Linked DNA regions of Notamacropus eugenii. The protein of the gene in region 1 binds, or shares a complex with, the protein of each later gene. Links are inferred from orthologs where the notes say so. Each region holds a gene or a part of one and is shown in the gene's direction. Other genes may lie near its edges.

What was found. Proteins that work in one complex are often made in the same cells at the same time.
Region 2: the proteins of ZC3HAV1 (region 1) and KHNYN are in contact, whole or in part, in a crystal structure (PDB 9BGL), measured with the Homo sapiens proteins. The link is inferred for Notamacropus eugenii from reciprocal best matches to the Homo sapiens genes ZC3HAV1 and KHNYN. Residues at the interface, in NP_064504.2 of Homo sapiens: Glu5, Val6, Cys8, Phe9, Lys12, Ile13, Ala16, His17, Glu29, Ile30, Ala31, Leu32, Leu113, Glu115, Phe118, Ser127, Gly128, Leu129, Asn130, Glu133; in NP_001277186.1 of Homo sapiens: His651, Lys652, Asp654, Phe655, Gln658, Arg659, Pro661, Tyr662, Asn677, Phe678.

Annotation. Positions count from the first base shown.
Region 1 is NC_092874.1:110,017,020-110,027,223, forward strand, and holds the start of ZC3HAV1 (zinc finger CCCH-type antiviral protein 1), read left to right. Parts: upstream 1-3,925; 5' UTR 3,926-4,091; coding exon 4,092-4,384; intron 4,385-10,204.
Region 2 is NC_092878.1:8,805,031-8,815,234, reverse strand, and holds the start of KHNYN (protein KHNYN), read left to right. Parts: upstream 1-5,332; 5' UTR 5,333-5,388; coding exon 5,389-5,697; intron 5,698-6,252; coding exon 6,253-7,721; intron 7,722-8,859; coding exon 8,860-8,990; intron 8,991-9,104; coding exon 9,105-9,201; intron 9,202-10,204. Other genes in the region: CBLN3 (cerebellin-3), read right to left, coding at 1,802-1,999, 2,756-2,875, 3,206-3,457.

The DNA of each region.
Region 1 (10,204 bases):
GAGAAAAACATTGCTAGGAAGGGAGGGGACAAGGTGGAAAAAATAGAGACAAACAAAACGAGTTTTGAAATACCAGTTTCCTACTAATAAATCTCCACTCACAATGAAGAAGATTACTTGGAAAAAGCAGAAAACATAGCTACGTGTCAACTGATATCCACTATATATCCACTAAGGCCTCCCACTGCTCTTTGGAGTTAGTTAGCGATACAAGTACATTTTTTGTAGAGGGGAGAAATTTTCCCTCTCTAATCTCTTCAAGGTCACAGCTGCAGCTGCAGAAACAAAGACTTCTTCAAAACAAAATTTTGGCAAGTAATAGTTTTTACCTTATTTGTTATATGTACAGCAAGTTTTCAGATATCAAAAAAAGTGTCTTCTTGCTGATGGAAATTGGGTTTTCTTGGATATATTTATGGAGGGAAATTAGTCAATCAATTGACAACACTTATGAAGGGTTATTATGTTCCAGGCACTTTATACAATGTATGTATATTCCTATGTATATACACAGGAAAAGGCAGTAACTAACTGCTGGCATGACATCTTAAGCAAGTGGTCCTTTCATCAGCAAAGCCTCATCAATCATTTTTGTGATCAGCAAACTTACCATGAGCCTCTCCCCTTAAGTTAAGGGTTCTTAATCAAGGATCTATGAATCTGTCTTTAAAAACTGATCACTACATTTCAATATAATTGGTTTCTCTTGAATTTAGTCATTGTGGATCACTCAATTCCCATATTTCTAGAAGAGACTGACCTTGAATTCAGGTTGTCATGACTGTAAGCCAGCTCTCTATCTACTATATGTTGCCTTTCCCTTGTGGCAATTTTAAAATGACAAACCACAAGTAGCAGAAAGAGGCTGAAATCATCATTGACAGAATGCTCAATTTGTCATAGAATCACAGAATTTGGGGGTTGAAAGGGACCCCAGCAGCTCTTTATTCCCACTCATACACAAAATATGCTCTAATATACTGTAAGGATGAGGGTCTATTGACCAAATCAGTGCATAAATTAGGCAAAAGATTGCAAAGAAAAATCAGATAAGAACTCATCTGTATTGAATCATCCAGAAGTGTGAACTAGGTACACAACAAGGCCTGGATAACTCCACTGAATCATTCAATTAATGGCATTTCATTTGGATGCCGCAAGTTGTTTTTTTTTTTTTCTGATTGGTTGAAAGACTTGCTTTGTGGGGCCTGTATAAAACCAATAAATTAGTCTGGGATCAGGGACTTCAGTCTCCAACAGTTTAGTGGTGGAACTTCCAGCCAAACCCTTGAGAAGAAATTGATTGGGAGAAACAGGAGGAGCAGAACACCATTCTCAGTTTCATCTGCTTAATGCAAAGAGGAACTTCTATCCTTCCATCAACGCAATTTCAGCAAGTCATGGCACGGAGGTGCAGGAAGGCATTCTAGACAGAAGAATAATGTCTGAGTCTTTCATTGTTATGACTGAATCAGGAAGAAGCAGACTTGGCCCATAATCATCCTACCACGTTAGAGCAAGGTATAGACTGGTATAGAATGTATACTGACAAAATAAAATGGTGAAACTAAGTAGGCAAATTTTAAGAGACGAACAATCATTTCACTGACTTTCTTGGTTATTGCTGTTGCTTACCTCCAATCTCGAGGAGAACCAATGAGGTGGATGTCTATACTTGTTAGTGAACTGGATTTAAGTGAGGCAAAGTTGTCTGTCTCATTCTCTCCTCCAGGGTCATCAAAGTCCATCAGCAACACAAAGTCAAGACCATTGTTGATGGCTCAGGATGCAGTGACTGATCTTGGCCTTTCTAAATTAAGGTCTTTTCCAGGTCTCAGTTGTCTGAGGCAATGTCCATTCTATGACTAAGGGCTAGGTAAGAATTGAGACAAAAAAAAACCCTAAACCACCACAACCAAACAAAATCCAAAACAAAACCAGATGGTAAATTACCATCACAAAAACATCAATCTTGGAATGGAAGACCCGTAGAATTTCTGGCCTGAACAGAAAACAATTTCCATTTACCCTCATTCTAAGTCATCAAAATCTAAACAATGACCTGCTGAGGCTTAGCCAGAGGGCTATTATTGGCCAATAAAAGCTAGAGTGATTTGAGTTTAAAGGTATGATCAAATAACTGCATGACTGACTGACCGAATGACACATTCTGCTATTTTAATGAGTCAATCATATTTATATGATATCAGTGATTATATATTATATAATTATGATTATATGATTGAATGGAATATAGAATTATAGAACATACTAGGTATAAATATATTATATTGTAATAAATGCTCGTTGACATCATTTATTATTTATTAGTCTATTAATATTTGCTAATATTTAACATTAGTATTTATTAATACTTATTATCAGTAAGCATTTATTACATGTTTATTATGTGCTGTGCACTGGGCTAAGCATTGGAAATACAAATCCAAAAGAAGGATTTTTTTAACCAGAGATAAAAAAGAATTGGCACCAGCAGTTCATAAGGCAAGACTATTTTCTTCCCTCCTTTACGGAGGTAGAGAGGTACAGGTATGGAATCAGAATCAGTTGACAAGGTTTTAAAAATTTCTAAACTCCTCTCCCCCTTTTTCTTATTCTTTTTACAAGTGGTGTCTTACTGAGTAGGATAGTAATTATGGAAAATAAAAGTTACCAATAAAAATTATTTTAAAAGAATAAGGCAAGAACTTCTGTCTTTGGCCTTTCTTTTATCCCCATGGTTTAGCACAGTGCCAGAGACATAGTATGTGTTAATCAATGCTTATTTAATTGACTACAACCATATAAATGGAAAGAACAAAATCCTGAAACTGGATAATGTGTAATTAGACCAAGCTTAGCTTCAGTGAAGAGATGAGAAATTGGGGTTTTCCCCTATTTTGGCAGAAGTAAGTTGCATGTACCGACACGTCTGACAGATAGGTTGGTTACTGTTGCTGAAATGATTTTTTCCCCCTCGTTTTTATTCTTTGTTAAGAGGGATGGGAAGGGATGTACTCGTAAATGTTCAACTGGCTTTCTGGGGAAAAATGTGTGCAGTATACATTTTAAAGTTCCAGTTACACGAACAGTTCTCCACCACTTTAAGTCAAGATAACTAGTAAAACAATTCTGAAGTGTAAATGATCACTTTGAAAAATTAACAGTTGGCTCTTAAGCTATCATCTGAATTGGCTCCATCACACCCTTGGATTCATTTGTAAAGAAAGTAATGTGAAAATAGTAATACAAATTCTTTTAAACGACGAACAACTTTGGCATAAGTGAAAAATAAGCATGCAACAGAATTTATTGGATAAACAAATCATAGTATCTCCTATTTACAGTTATAAAGTTCTTTATGTGCTGTGTTGTCTCACGTGACCCTCCCAAATCCTACGGGGAGGTAGGGCATTACCGCTATTAAGTAGAAGATACGAAGGAAAAAATGGAAATCAACCTTTTTTTTATTAAGCGCCCACTAAACGTCGGACTCGGTGGGCGGCTACACCAAGAATGAAAACAATCCTTTCCACTTACGGAACTTACAGACATACGTAGGGGGCAGAGAAATGCAGAGCGAGGAAGGGGAGAGTCCGGGGCCCGGGGTGGGAGGGAGCCCAGGGCCAGCGACCAGCACCGCGGGCTAGTCCTACGGCGCAGCCCGGGCTCATTTCTGGACTAGCCGAGACTCGACGTAAGAAGCCCGGGGGGGAGGGCTGTTCCCAGGCAGAACTGGCAGGAGTTGGAGAAGGGAGGAGGAGGAGGTCGGGGGAAAGGGGCTCCCCCTCTTTCCTTCGCTTTCTCGCCCTGCGCACCAGCTGTTCTGGAAGGCAGTGAAAGTCTGGGGTAATTGCCGAGCCTCCCCAGGGAAGTCCCCGATCGAGGGCTCCCAGACCAGCAGTTTTCCCACTAGAAGCTAATCTCCAGGAGGCAGCCCCGGGCTGGGGCGTTTCCGGAAAGTCAGAGCCCCCGGTTGGGCCCGCCCCCTCGGAGCTCTAAGTTTCGTTTCCCTAGCCCAGCCTCGGCAGTCCCGATTCGGAGTCCGCTCGGCTTCCTGGGCGGCTGCGCTCGCGGAGCCCGGGCTGGCCATGGCGGACCCGGCCGTGTGCGGCTTCCTCACCCAGGTCCTGTGCACCCATGGGGGCCGCATGGAGCTCCGCAAGCTGCTCGGCTTCATCGAGCTGCCCGAGGCGCAGCTCCTGGAGGTGCTGAGAGAAGCCGGCCCCGATCGCTTCGTGCTCCTGGACGAGGACAGCGACGCCGGCCCGACGGTGCTGGCGACCACCCGCGTGCGGGTGTGCCGGCGCATCGTGTGCGGGGGCGCCTGCGAGGCCCTGCACCTCTGCAAGCTCAACCTGATGGGCAGGTGCCGCCGCGAGAGGTGAGCGCGGCCGCGGCCGGACCCCGGGGCCCGGACCCCCGGGCCCTCTCCCTTCCCTTCTCCCACACGCCCACCCTCCAAGCCTTGCACCCCCTTCGCCTCCATCCCTCCCCCGCCGCCTCTGTTCCTTCTCCCTTCCGTCCCCCCTCCTCATCCACCTCCCCTTCAAGTCCCCTTCCTTTCCATTCCCGCCCCCTTGGCATTTCTCCCTCCTTTCTGTCCCCCCACCTCCTTTCTATTCCCCTCTCTCCCAGCCCTCCCCTCCCTTTCCCAGCCCATCCCGGGAAGTCCAGGCCCGTCCACCCCCCGCCTCCGCATCCCCCGCACCCCCTGCCCGGATTCGGCTAATCTGGCCCCTCATCGGAACAGCCTCTACTTTGAACACTGCTGCCCTCCACTTCCTGCTTACGTGTAACTTGGCTGCAAGTTGTTTTCAGTATTTTAAAAACTTGTGCCTTCTATCCCCTGCCCTGTGGGCGGATGGGCCCCGAAACAGGGTTTATCAGAGAGACAGACTGGATTAGAAAAGCCTGAGGCTGGGCACTCCCCCGGCGCCTTGCCCAGGTCCCGCGGCCCCGCCGGACGTGTCCACCCAGTCCGTACTCTGCTGTCTGGCCCCCAAAGCCCGCACTCCCAGCCTTCTGCCTCTGAAAAATCCGTAACCCCAACGGGACCCGGCCGCCTCCCCTCCTTCCCATTGTGCCCCGCCCCCCATTGTCATAGTCTTTTACCTTTACTTTAGTTCTTATCACCACCGAAACTTTGTTCCGGTTATCAGTGCTGATGGGCCAGCCACCCCCGGGATTCTTTTTTTTAGAGGCTTTATTTATTTTTGTTACCGCGCTAGAGAAGCCCACCCTCTGACACAATGTATATGTACATGTTAGATGGATAACTGTTCGTGCTTCTGTGCATCCTCTCCTTCTCTGGAGGCGGATCTCATCTTCCGTCGTAGGTCTTTTGGAGTTGCTTTGACTAGTGATAATCCTCAGAATTGATTAATCATTCACAGTTATTCCTTTTTTTAGGTTTTGTTTTGTTTTGTTTTTTTCGGTTACCTGGGTTCAGTTACTCTTCAAACATTGCTGTTACCGTCTACCACATTCTCGTACATTTGCTCCTTGCTTTTCATTAATTCATTAAAGTCATTCCATGTTTTTTGTAAATCAACCAGCTCATCCTTTCTTACAGCTAGAATTCTCTTCTGGCTTCCTCCTGTAACCCGGGCCCCTTCTTTGTCTCTCTTCCTGTATGTTAGGTGGTACTCCAAAGCTTAGTCCCTGAAGCAGCTTTTGTGTCTTCCATTTTTGCTTCCACATTGTTCTTTCCCCCGTGGAGATCTCATGTGTTCCTGGGAAGCACTGTGGCTTTCTCACCCAAATTTACTTCTGTTTCTCTGATAAGCCCCAGGGCCGGTCTCTCCACCTATCTGCCCGGTGGAAAAGGGGGCACCTAGTATCCTACCAACAGCTCAAATCTATGTCATCATCTTTCCCTCTAAACCAACCTCCTTTTGTCACATGTATCATCATTCTAACAGGTAACAAAACCTCAACGGTACATAATAATTTGCAAACTTTAAAATGCTATACAAATGCAATTCTTCTTCTTATTTTATTTCTGATTCTTTTTCTTTCACTTGCTCACAACTCCCAGTACAGCAAGTGAGTTTTTTTTGTGTTGTGGATTTGGCATTCTGATAAAACCTATGGGTCCCCCTTTCAGAATGAAGTTTTTCAATGCATAAAATTAAATACCTTAGGTTATGAAAGAAACTAAAGGTTATTAAAAATAAATGTATAATTTTTTTCCTCTAAGTTCACAGACTCCCTGAAATCTATCCATGCCTTGTGGATTTAGGGACCTCAGGTTAAGAATTCCTGATCTAGGGGTTTTCTTTATAATATCTTGTGTCCATCTTTCCCATTTGTTGCTGAAGCCACTTTCCTAATTCAGGCTCCCATCACCCATTGTCTGGACCATTGAAGTATACTGCTGGCGGTCTCCCTGTCTTCAATTATCTCCTCATTACAGTTTATTCCATTCATTGCCCACAGGTTAATCATTCTGAAACATTTGTACGTCACTACCCACTCTGCTCAGAAATCTTTAATGGCTCCCCATGGCAGAGGTGCAGACACAGTCTGATAAGCAAGGCCCTCCCCATATAACCCTGGATGACTCTCCAACCTTTTCCTTGACCATCCCCTGTGCCACGGGTGTCAAAGAGAAAGGGGGCCACTAAACTGTACATAACGATCTCTGCAGCTACATATTGACTTAGAAACCACTTGCTAAAATTATCTATGCATTACTTGTTTTTATGTTTTTAAATTTGTTTTTCCAAGCTCATTAAAGCTTTATTTTACTGACCAAAGATGTGAAAGATGACCATTATATTTTAATCTGGTTCCCTCTTGTAATAAATAACAGTAATAATAATAATAAAAAATAAATTAGTTACATTTTAATCTGGTTCCCTCCTACAATAAAAATATACATAATAATAAAATAAATAATAAAATTACATTATAATCTGGTTCCCTCCTGCAATAGGAAATGTTGTGGGTCTCAGACCTCTGAGCCTCCTGTTTGACACCTCTGCCCTATACGAAGCCCATACTGGCCAAACTGTTTTGCTCTTTGTTCCCCCAAATGTGCCTTGGGCACTCCTGCCTCCCAGTCTTTGTGCTCTCCTTTATACCTGAAATGTCTCACCCTCTCCCTGCTTCTGATAATCTATGCCTTCCCTTCAAGGATAAACTCTAGTCTCACCTCCTTCCTTCCTCTCCACCTCCCAAGCCCTTCCCTGTCCCGGTTCCCCTTCCCACCTCTCAGCCTTATAGGAATATTCCTCCTTTTGAACTCCTGCTGCATTTTGTTTGGTATTTAACATAAATAAGTTTTTTTATGGTGTTTTATATGCTTTTGTTTCTGTCCCATCTTTTACCCCTAGATTGTAAATTCTTTGAGAGCAGTGACTGTTTTACAACTCTTATATCAACCGTGTGTATAATGTCTTATGCCTAGTAAATTCTTCAGTGAATGTCATTTGGTTATGTTGATGACTCATACCTCTGACCTGCTGACATTCTCTTCATCATAGAAGAAAATAGAACCTTGCAAAAACATGCTATTTCCTCATGTTTCTGTTGAGAGAAAATTCACATCTTTGGGTTTTTTAAAATTTATTTTTAGTTTTCAGCTTTCACTTTTATAACATTTTGAGTTCCAATTCCCCCCCTTTCCCCTCCCCCAGATGGCATGCAATTTGATATAAGCTATACGTGTATAATAATATTAAACATATTTCCACATTAGTCATGGTATGAAAGAAGAATCAGAACAAAAGGGAAAAATCACAAGAAAGAAAATAAAAGAGAGAAATTAGGATGCTTTGATGTACATTCAGCCTTCATAGTTCTTTCTCTAGATGTGGATAGTGTTTCCTTCATGAATTGTCTTAGATCTTTGCATTACTGAGAAGAGCTAAGTCTTATCAAATTCAGTCATTGCGCTGACTTTGTGCAGCCCCAGTGTGGCTGTTCTGTGTACAGTGTTCTCCTGGTTCTGCTCACTTCACTCAGCATCAGTTCATGTCATGAAGTTTTTCCAGGTTTTTCTGAATTCTGCTTGCTTATAGAACATGTTCTATCATGTTCTTATAGAACAGCAGTCTTCCATTCCATTCATATACCACAACTTGTTCAGCCTTCCTCAATTGATGGACATCCCTTCAATTTCCAATTCTTTGCCACCACAAAAAGAGCTGCTGTATTTTTGTACATGTGGGTCCTTTCCCCTTTTTTGTGATCTCTTTGGGATACAGACCTAGTAGTGCTATTGTTGGACCAAAGAGTATACATGGTTTTATAGCCCTTTTTGTATAGTTCCAAATTGTCCTCCAGAATGGTTGGATCAGTTCACAACTCCAACGGTATATTGGTGTTCTAATTTTCCTCCATCTTTTCCAATATTTGTCATTATCCCTTTTTTTGTCTTATTCAGTCTGATTGATATGAGTTGATACCTCAGTTTTGTTTTGATTTGTATTTCTCTAGTCAATAGGAAAATTCACAATTTTGATGAAAAGATTGTTATGTGTATTTCTTTTGCTTCTGTTCTGTTTGTTGATAATGGTTGTGTGTGTATGTGTTTATATACACAGATAGAGGGGAAGGGAGAGAGAGAGAGAACTGTGGAATTAATTATTTAAAGTAAGAAAGTTATAAAGAACTATGAATCACAGACTTTTAGAAGTGGAAATTACAAAGATCTTAGGGATTGTGTAGTTCAGTTACCTCATTTTACAAATGAGGAAACTGAGGCCTAGAAAGATGAGGTAGCATCCTCAGTTATAAAGAGAGTCAGAGGTAAAACTCCCATGACACTGTCCATTCTCGAATACTGCATTGCCTCCCTTGTTCAAATGTGCCCTTCAGGAATGGGCAGAGAAAAAAATCATCCGATGGTAAAATAAGTGTCCACTTCCTTAAAACCCTAAAAGTTGTCAACAAATAAAAACAAAACCTAATCTTAATAAAAATAACTTTGGCATCATAACAGTTTGCAAATTGTCCCTGCCTGGCCTCTTCTTGCCCATTGAGGCCTTCCTTTGGTAAGACCAAAAATTCTCTGCAGAAAAAATCTCTGCTTTGTTGGTTAATGAGCCAGTGTTTGAAAAGGCTCAGACGTTTTTGTTGGCTGTTACGACAAACCTGTCTCTGCGAAGATTGACGCAAGTGTTATAGGGCCTAGCAAGATTTTTTTTTTAACTTTGTCCTTTCTTCTGGTTTTTGCTGTCTTTTCACTTAGGTCTGGCATGGAAAGACTGAGAAACCTCCAGAAAAATGTCCTACTCTTGACTGTGTATATTTGAAAACAGCATTTACATGACAAATGGATGACCGAAAATCACTTTTTAAGCAGTTACAATTTACCAAACCCTGCCCTTCCTGCTGGGCATATAAATCCAAAACAAGATAGCCCCTGGCCTCAAGGAACTTCCCTTCTAGCCGGGTAAAGGTGTGTGCTGCGATGTTATGGGATAGATAGTTTGGTTTAAGAAGCCACAGGGAAGATGAGTGTCGCCTTTGGGGCAGTATTGATTTGGTTACTCTTTCTAGAACCAGTGTTGGCAGGGCCAATGACAAGACAGTATGCCGGATGAATGATTACGTAGGATAGGAAGCATGGTCCAAGGCAACCCAGATAGAGGGGTCATGCACTGGATGATGTACCAATCAGGACAATATGGCTCTAGCATTGTTATTCCAAAGGGAGTGGAGATAGCCACCCAGGTCATGTTCTCAGGAAGTTCAAGCGGTGTGGAGGGAATAGACCATTGGGTGGGATGTGTATGTCCACAACATATCTGTATATATCTATATCTGTCTGTATAAACTTGTCTATATATGCCTCAGTGAATTTGTGCTTTTATAAATGTAAATATATGTTTTTTAATATTTCAGTTCAGTTCTACGTCATGTTGAATAAGTGGCCACCCTCCCTTTACTTGAAGACTCTGGTAAAGCAAACCTACTACATCTTAAGACAGGCTGGCCATTCCATTTTAGATAGCTTTAACAATTAAGATTTTCTTGTTGCCTCTTAAACATTTTTGCCCGTTGCTCCTAGTTCTTCCTGGGACCAAGCAAACCCTGTCTAATCCATCTTAGCCCACTGGAGAGAGTGCTGGGCTTGGAGTCAGGAAAACCTGAGTTCAAATCCAGCCACTTAACCTCTGTTTGCCTCAGTTTCTTCAGTTGTAAAATGGGGATAACAGTGGTACTTACTTTCCAGGGTTGTAAGGATCAAATG
Region 2 (10,204 bases), on another chromosome or scaffold:
CATGGATCTTCTCCTCCTTCTCCTACTAGCGGGAAGGATTATTTACAGAGAATTACTCATTTGGAGAGGCCTTTGCCAACAAACATAAGAATTGTAATGGGTAGGAGAAACTGGTGAAATCTCATTTAAAAGTCTCTGAGAACCCCAAGAAATAAAGCCCTCATTCGGATTACTGCAGTGAGTGGCCTTAGTTTAGAAGCTGTCTTATTTGATTGGATTTCTATGGTGTCCCCTTACCTCCTCCTTCCCCAGTATGCCTCATTTCAATACTCCCAGCTCCTTCTTGAGGAGTTAAGAGTTAAATGGGAGGGATAGGGAGAAGACTTTTTGAGTCATCCTTTCCATCTGATTACCCTTAATTCCTGCCTTCAGATCTGCCAGAATTGTTTCCTTGTTTTCTAGCTTCTCCCAGAGAGTCAAAGGCTTATGACTTGTATTCCTCCATCCCACTCTCCCATTCTTTTTAGGCCAACCCAAATGGGATGAACACATCTTGTGGTCAACCAAGTAGGGTGCTATTCAGCCTTGAGGATGTTGTTGTAGAGAGAGAGAGCTAGCCTGGGAGTCAGGTTCAGATCCTGCCTCAGACACTGACTGAGTGACCATTGGGCAAATCACTTAATGCCAGGGGTGAGGAACCTGTAGCCTCAAGGCCATATGTGGCCTTCTAGGTCCTCAAGTTTGGCCCTTTGACTGAATCCAAACTTCTGAAGTCAAAGGGCAGAACTTGAGGGCCTAGAAGGCCACATGTGGCCTCGAGGCAACAGGTTCCCTACCCTGGCTTAATCTCTCTAGTTCTCAGTTTTCTCATTGGTTTTAAAATGAGGATAATAGCACCTACTTCACAGTCTAGTTAGTTGTAAGGATCCAATGAGATAATAACATATGTACTGTGCTTTGCAAACTTCAGAATGTCCTACCAATGCTGGCTATTGTTACTGAGGAAGGTCACGTGGGGTCCTTGGTGTGGGGCTGCTCCATTCTGATACCCTGGGCCTGAATTCCCACCTGGGGGCTTCCTCTAGCTTCAGCTTGTTCTTCCTGCCCCCACCATGACTAACCCCATGACCAGACCAAATACCACGTAGCAGTTGGGCAGCACCCAGGAGCTGGCTCTCTCTACAGGAAGCAGTTTCCATGCACTCTGGGGCTGGTACCATCTGGGATTCTGTGGGGTTCCTGTCAGGCCAGTTTATGCCACCTGTCCCAAAATATAGCTGGGAGATGTGTGTTTTGGGGAGGGCAGTAGAGACAAGGAATTAGTAGCATTTTCTTTACTGATGCAAATACAGAGCAAAGTGGGGCATTATGGGTGAGAGAGAGGGGTAGGTTAGGCTGAAATCAGAGGGATATACTGACGACAAAACTGGCTTTACACCTGCAGTCAACTCATTTATTTATCATGGAGGGTTTGGCACTTGTTCTCATGCAGAAGAATAGGAAATGAATATGTCAGCTACATGTCCTGGATTTTTAGTAAGATGACAGTTTTTGGGAAAAGAAATTGTCCTTTTAATAACACTTATCTAAAGGATTAGCTATATTTGCATTATGATTTGGGGGTGTAGAATATAAGGTCATACTCCCAGTTCCAGGGATAGTACTGCTGGTTTTGAAATGAATGAATATTAGAGACCCAGGGCTTATTAAAGTCCCTTCCCCTGAAGAAAGTCCCTTGACATTCCTGCATTCCAAGAAGAAGGTGAACAGAAGTGAAGGAATTCAGGGTATGTTTGTGGGGTGGGGGAGGGTGGAGGTGGGTAGTAGGGAGGGTAGCAAGCCGAGAGGGTGGTACTTTCCCTCAGAGAGGAAAGATCAGAAAGCCAGAGAAACTGGAGAACTTCCAGCCACCAAGCAGGTTCCCTCGGCGGAGACGCAGGGACACTCGGTCTCCAGGGTCCAGGGGTAAGAGCACAGCACTAGTGGCCGCCTCTCGGGTCACATCAGGGTCATTGGCAAAAGCTGAGATCACAGACCATGTATTCAGCATCAGGCTTACCTGGGGAAGGGTGAATTTGGGGTAATTAGGCCCTTTACCCTGGGACCCCCCCCCCCCCCCATAGTCTAAGAAATCTTTGGATTTTGGTATAGCGACTCTTTCAGTGGGGTCATTCATCATTTCTGAGGTAGCTAGGTGATTCAGTGGATGGAGCACTTGGCCTCGACGCAGGAATATCTGAGTTCAAATCCAGCCTCAGACACTTACTAGCTATGTGACTCTGGGTAAGACCCTTGACTTCTGTCTCACTCAGTTTCCTCAAATGTAAAATGACGTAATAATAGCATCTACTTTTTAGGGTTATTGTAAACTTAGTACAGGGCCTTGCACATAGTAGGCACTTAATAAATGCTTGTCTCCTTCCTTCTAAATCTTAGCCCTTCCGAGAGAGCAAGGGTTAACTAGGTTCTGTGTCTATGATCTTAGTGACCCTAAGGCTCCCTGTACCAGGATTCCAAATTCCCTGGGCCAGGAGGGCTACATATATTCTATCTCCCTTGACTTGGCCTACAACTGCCACTCAACCTTTAGAAGTGGACCTTTGGACTTTGCCAGGATCTCCAGCCCTACTTACTGGACAGAGGTGATCCAGACTCCTATGGAGTCCTGTGGACACTGTCTTAAAGTGGGGGCAGGTGACTAAACTAGAATTGAGAAACCCAGTGTGAGTCAGGGATGGGGCTGGGTGTATCCAGACTGCCTTTGCCTCTCTCTTCCTCTCCTTGAACTTTAGGAGAAGCAGGGCTCTGGGCTCACCTGAACTGTCTGGCGGTTGTACACCTTTACCACATGGAACCGGAAACTGTAGACACCCCGGACAGGGGCAATAAAGGAGCCTGAGGCCCTGTCAAAGCCATTGCCTTCATTCACTAGGACCTGGGCAGAGGGAGAGAGGGTCAGGAAAAAAACATTATGGGAAGGGTGAGAAAGAGGAATTGGTGGGGTGTAAAAAAAGGAAAGGGTGGGGAGTAGAGGGAAGGAATGGATGAATGGGGTAAAGGGGGTAAGGAAGACTCTTGAATAAGACTACTTGGGGAAAGGGGAGAAAGGTGTAGGAAATGGCGATTGGGCTGGTTTTCTTAAAGAGAGAAGAAGAGATGAACTCTGGGAGGGTAGAAGACTGAGTGGGACTCAGAATAGAAGCCAGTTTTCCTCTCCATTCAGGGGTCAGCAGGTGGGGTGGATGTGGTAGGGGAAGAATGTTACCTGGTCAAAGTAGATGGCGCCACTGGTGCCATTGCCTGTTTCTCCAGCTGGTTCATGATGGTGGCTCCGGACAGCAGCAAAGGCCACCCGCCCTGGTGGAGCCTCTCCCAGGGCTGCGCCGCCTGGACCTCCTGCCATTGCCCGGCCAGGTTCACATACCACAAGGCATTCTCCTTCCAACAGGACAGGCTCTGTCCCTTCCTGTGCCTGACCAGATCCGAAAGCCAGGAGTACAAGTGTCAGGAAAGACATTACGGGCTCAGCTGGTTTTTCCCAGTGTCCAGGACCACTTTTATCTCCTGCCCTACAGGAATGAAGCCCTCTATACCTCTTTTTGTTTTCTGTAGCTCTCCCTCCTTCAGTTTCTCTCCCTCCTATAGTCTCCTTCCTGCCCTCTTCTGCCTCTTTGGTCTTATACTAACTGCCCCTCTTGTTTCTTTGCCCCAGTCTCCTTGTCAACTGGTCTATCTATCTCTTGTTCCATCTCTACCTGGGACCCACAGGATCTGTGTGTCTCTGTGTCTTGCCACTCACTGCTACGGATCCCTCCCCTCTGGCAGAGTGCACAACAGACAGCCAATGGGCCCCAGGAAGGAACAGAGGGAAAAGGAGGAGGAATGAGAGGGAGCATAGCCAGGACCCCAGGGAAAGTCCTTGAGAGCCAGTGAGGCAGGAGCTAGAGCTGATGAGAGATAGGAGTGTGGATGAGGGGCTTCTCCCTCTGTCCCCAGCTCCTTACACACCTGGTTGTTGATGTTAATGTAATGTTGCCTTTCTCTCCCCTTCATCCTTAACAAATAAGATAACATGCAAAGTGCTATGCAAACCTAAAATGCGTAGATATTAGTGGGATAAATTTTGATGATCCTGCTCCCTTAATAAGCCCCATTCTCTTTTCCCCCTCCTTCCCATGCACTCCTCCCCAGCCCCCAGCTCTCCCTAATATCTTTTTCTTGTACTGAGAATCATAGGAAGCTGTGGAAAGGGGTAGCCATCTCTTTTCCCAAGTAATTAAAGTTCTGGAAAGGAAAGTAAGCCAGGAACCAGCAGACATGAATGAGTTCTAGGCCAGGTTCTGCCACTAATGAACGCCGTGACATTTTGGTCTCTGGGCCCCTTTAAACTCCTAAAAATTATTAAGGATTCTCCAAGAGCTTTTGTTTCTATGGGCTGTATCTACGGATATTTAGTGTATTAGAAATTAAAATGTCAGTATTCTTATGAAAATAGTTTGGCCTTGTGGCCCTCACCCTTATCACCCTCCCCTGTCTCCGCAGGGTCCCTGGATCACACTCTGGGAACCTGATTTTGGGCCGAGTAACGACCCCTAGGGCTTAGTTTTTTCTTCTGCAAAATGAAGAGGGTTGGATGAGATAATCTCTGAGGACCCGGTTAGCTCTAAAATTCAGATCAACAGATATTACAGTACTAGGATTCTAGGATGCCATTTCCAATTTATAAACAATGTACTAGGGGAGGCTGGCAGAGGGGAGAATTATGGAAAACTGAGGCAGGAAGAAAGAAGAGAGAAAATAAGGAGAAAGGCAAGGGCAGGAAGAAGTCAGAAGTAAAAGATGGAAGGAGGGAAGATGGACGGGGGACAGGAATAGGGACAGGCTAGAGCGAGCCTCTGGTCGTCTTCCGCCCTCCTCCCCATCACCCCTTTGCCCCCGCCCTCTGACAGCCTGGGTGGAGACCCAAAGTCGCCAGGGCCAGGTCAGCCCCAGGGTGGAGCTGAGTAAAACTCCTCCCCTGACCAGGAAGTGAGGAGGAAAGCAGTTGTGTACGTGAGACAGTCAGGAACCTGGGGTCTGCCAGGGTCCGGTGGAACTCCAGACCTGCTCCCTCTTGCCCCTCTACCTCCAGGGCGGGAGCTTCGGGCTCACGAGCTGTAGGACACCGAGATCGCTGGCCATAAGCTCTAGGTACTCCGGGAGCCAAGACGGATCAGCGCCTTTCCACCTTCCCATTTCTCCCCAGGGGAGGGATGGAAGTACTAGGGGAGACCGAGGAGACGAGGACTCAGAAAGCCCGAGAGAGCAGCAGAGGTTTATGCCCCTGGATGGGACAGCCCCACGACGGGGCAGCCAGGACCACCACCAGGAGCACCGTCCCCGGGGTCAGCTGGGGGGATAGGGGCGGAGCGTAGTTGGCTAACCCTGTGGGACTTGAGGTTCGGGGCTATGACGTTGGAGCCAGATCCGATCCTGGGAGCGGGGAGGATTCGCGCAGAGGGGCTGCCATGTCTGAGCCTGGCTTCTTCCCACGCTGTCAGGGCTGGCCCGGCCACCATGCTCCCGTCGGGGGCCGCTCCTGGGACCACGGACCGCTTCACGGTGCTGGCCGATGCGGAGGACGTAGTGCTGAAACAGCGGCCTCAGGTGGAGCGCATCTTCCGAGTGCGGCTGAGTGTCCTTGAGAAGGCCTGCGCGGGGAGCCCCCACATCTGGCTGCAGCTGGAGGGGCCCCGGGAGAACGTGGGCAGAGCCAAGGTGACACTTCCCCTTCCCTCGGGCTGGGGGGGTGGGGGTGGGAGGGGGGGAGAAGGTCCCCCAGAGGGCCCGTGGTCCTGCTCTTGGAGAGGCTCCCCTTGGCCGGAGTCGCTGCTGTCCCTCGTCCACTTCCTCCGCCTCTCTGGCCCATCGCTCGGGGATTTCCTGGCTCTCGCTGCCTTTTGATTTTTGGTTTCATTTCTTGCAGGTTGCCAAGTTTCAACTTCTCTCTATACAGAGGCTGGGGTGGGGAGGGAGAGCTGAGATTCCTTCTCCTTCCTAAACGGCACCACCTCCCTCCCCCTTCTGTGTGTGTGTGTTGTGTGTGTGTGTGTGTGTGTGTGTGTGTGTGTGAGTGTGTGTGTGAGTGAGTGTGTGTGTGTGTGTGTGTGTGTGTGAGTGAGTGTGTGTGTGTGTGTGTGTCTGTGTCTGTGTGTGTGTGTGTGTAGCCACAATACTGGAAGCTCTGGGGGGGAGGGCGTGAAGAGTGCGTAGACAGACCAGAAGGACAGAAATTAGCTAGAAGAATGATTCCTTCCCTTTCCTTTCCTCCAGGAGTACCTGAAAGGCCTTTGCAATCCAGAGGTGTGGGAGGAAGTCAGCTACCCTGCAGCCCTGCACTGTGTCTTCTTTGGTGCTGGGGGTCTTTTCCTGGACTGCCTGTGTTGGGGTACTTCAGCTCACATGGTGCCCCAAGCCCCAGGCTCTCTGTTACTGGGGGGCCTGATCGAAGCCTTTGTTATGGCCCAAAGCAGGATGGAAGATCTGTTAGGGAAGCTGAGGCAAGGTGGTCTCCAGTGTCCACAGTCCAAGAGTGCTGGGGAACAAGTGACTCAGGCCTTCAAGGCCCTGGTTGGGAGGTATGGGGATGAGCAATCCAGGGCTCTCCTGGATTTGCCAGTGCCTGTCCAGGAGTGGCTGTTAAACTTGGCAAGAGAGGCAGGTAGGGAGCAAGGACTTCCAGAACCTCCTCAGGGGCAAGAGAGGAGCCCAGTTCTCTTGGGGAATGGTGTTTGGGAGGACCCTGTTAGAAAGATTTCGAGTGAGGGCAGAGAAGTCAGAGAGGATGACATTGTCTCATTGGGCACCAGGTCTGTTGACCAGGAAGGGGTTAAGGAAGGGGTTTATGCTAGGGCAGAGTGTCTGCCTTCTGATCCTGGAGAGAGAGACTGGGAAAGACTGTGGTTCACGGGAGAGGAGGATTCCAGGAGGATTGGAGAACTGGTCCGGGAACAGAACTCCCATACACAGAATTTCTCTGGGCAAAGAAACTTGGAGAGACCAGGGAGTCCCAGGGAGGGATTACCTGGGCAGAGGAACTGGAGGAGGGAAGGGATCCCTGAGGAAAGAAATTATCTATCTAGGGAAAGGAACTGGGGGAAAGATGGGTTCCTTGGGGAGAGAGATTGGAATGGGGATGACTTGACTATGGGGAGAGAATGGGACAGAGAAGGGCCCCTTGGGCAGAGGGATTGTGGGAAAAGGGGACATAATAGGGAGGAGGACCAGGACACATTATGGTGTCTGGAAGGAAAGGCCTTAAAAAGAGAGGATCAACCTGATGATATGTCTCAAGGAGAAGGGCCCCAGAGCCAAGATCAATTCCCGAGCCCACTCACTGTCAAGGCTGACTTCCTCCGAGGAGTGAAACAGGCTGCAGCTGATTCCTATGGCCATTCTCCTCAGGCAGTGGTGTGTGACCAGCAGTGGAGGGGCCCCCTAACGCCCCTCCTTCAGCTCAACAATGGAGAATCCTCCCCACCAGTGGGGCCCAACATTCTACCTGGGGCTCAGCCCACATGGCTTGTTTCTCCAAAGCCTGGGGATGGGCAGTCAGTGGGACTTAAGGAGCAGGAGACTCCCAAAGGAAGCTTAGGTGGCAACACTGGTGGCAGCTGTGAGGTGACCAAAACCCAGCGCTTTCTGGAGGCCTTGAAGATGCCGTTTTCCTTGAACCTCACCAATGTTCCTGGTGCAACAGGTCTTCGACATGTTGTCCTCGATGGCAGCAATATAGCTATGAAGTGAGTACTCTTCTGACCTCCAGCCTGAAGGCACTGTTAGGGAGGGCTTAAAGAAAATGATAATAGTCATCCTAACCATAGTTAGCACTTATACAGCACTTTAAGATTTGTGAAGTGCTTTACTTGTACTCTTACTGACCATGAGATATATACTATTTAATTATCCTCATTTCACAGTGGAGGAAACTGAGGCAGACAGATTAAATGACTTGTCCAGATGGAATTCAAACTCAGGTTTTCCTGATTCCAGCAAAGCACCTGAAGCCACATGGTGAACTAGGTAGTGAAAGTATTTTTCAGTGCTGTCCTGGTAGCCAACTTGAAGGGTTAGATTTTCAGTGTGAGCATTTATCCCACAGAAATTGGCAAATGCTACAAATAAACGCTTAATTTACTGTTCTGTTCATGGTCTAGACTTAAGAAAATAACCCAGAAAATGCTAATAATGTAGACCAAATGTAAATGTGTTATAGGTATATGTCTTCCCCCCGAGAGAGCTGGTTGTTAAACATTTGTCAACATCCCCCTGATTATTGTCATTTGTAGGTGAAGAAATGAAAATGGAGGTGCAGAGATATGATGTTACTTGTTTTCAGTAATGTGGCTAGTTGGGAAAGGGACTGAAATCTCAATCTGGGTCTTTGGTTCTAGTTTCAGCAGAGTGATTCATTTGCTATGTGATTTTGGGAAAGCCTCCCTCTCTGTCTTGTTTACTAGATAAACTGATCTCAGATTATTTGTAAAGATAATGCTTCACTAAAGACACCGAGGGTGGCTTCAGCATTACATTGTGGAGGCTAAGAGACTGCCTATAGAGAGTGCTGATTTTGGCACTAGAGGACCTGCTTTCAAATGGTAGCTCTGTCACTTTCTACCTATGGGACCTTGAGCAAGTCATTTAACTTCAGCCTCAGTTTCCTGTAAAATGGGGAGGAGATTGCACTAGATCCTGCACTTTGGACTCTGTGGCCAGTGATATTTTTTTTCCTGTCTCACTGGTTGCTTCTTGTTATATCCAAAGATAGGTCTGTCTGCTCTCTTTGAGCCCCCTGGAGGATGCCTTAGACACAGGGGTATGGATGAAGTGCCTTGTTCTCAACGTGGACACCAGTCTAATCCCAGCTCTTTGCTTTCTCAGCCATGGCCTCCAGCATTTCTTCTCCTGCCGGGGCATTGCCTTAGCTGTGCAGTATTTCTGGGATCGGGGGCACCGGGAGATCACTGTCTTTGTGCCTCAGTGTCGTCTTAGGAAGGATGCCAAAGTGAAAGGTGAGCAGAGTTTCACCCCAAGACTCTTATTTACCCACTACCTACCTTCCCTACCCAGGGACTAACCAGGCCATTCAATCCCTTCCCACCCTCATCTGGATCCCTCCCCCACAGAACGTCATTTCCTGACTAAACTACAGTCCCTCAGGCTGCTCTTTGTCACCCCCTCTCGAATTGTGGAAGGGAAGAGGATTACCTCCTATGATGACAGGTACTCCCCACCCCCAAAGCCCTAGCCTTGGTGACAGGGGAATGAAGGGAGGGCAGAGAGAACCATGGAGGAGGGGAGGTTAGAAGAACCTATTCTCAGCTCAAGTTGGGGAAGGTTGATATCAATGCCCCTTCTGTCATGTCACTTAAGACAGTCAACACGCAATTTATTAAGTGCTATGATCCAGAGACTGGGCTAAGTATGGGAAGTACAAAGAAAGACTTACAATTGTGCCAGTCTCAGTTCTCCCCCCAAGTCCTCTTGTGTGTGTGTGTGTGTGTGTGTGTGTGTGTGTGTGTGTGTGTGTGTGAGACTTGCTTCTGTCCTCTCTGGAAACACAGCAAAAATGCCAGGAATACATACTTTTCATTGTGGTCACTGGGATTAGGGGAGAACCATCAATTTCTCTCGAGAAGGAAACTTTTTTTTTGAGATAGAGTGTTTTAGGAGCTCTGGAGGAAGAGCCAAAAGAAGACAGGACTAGAATGAAATCTGTGGGCTACCACCAAGATTCTAAGGCTCAGTTTCTTCATTTGGAAAATGAGGGGCTTGGACCCTAAGGTCCTTCTAATTCGATTAGTGATGAATCTAGCTCCTATCAGGGATGTAGGGGCTGGCTTCTCAGTTCCTTGAGGTCCCTTGAACACAAGCATCTCTGATCCCATCTCAGATATCTGATGATCCTTTCTTAGGCCAGAAATCTGCTCTGATTGTTTTCACTCATTAATTCAATCCACACATGAAAGGTTAGATGAATGGAGAAGTGTTCAGCCAGCTTGAGAGAAGCACTAAATTTCATAGTGGTAAGGGAACTCAGTGGTAGCTAGATGGCTGGCTGGAGCTAGATGGCTTGAGCCCTGACTACTCATCTTCCCTGAGTTCAAATCTGATCTCAGATACTTACTATGTGACCTTGGGCATGTCACTTAACCCAGTTTCAGTTCTTTACCTGTAACATGAGCTAAGAAGGAAATGGCTAACTACTCAGGATTACCCTTATAGT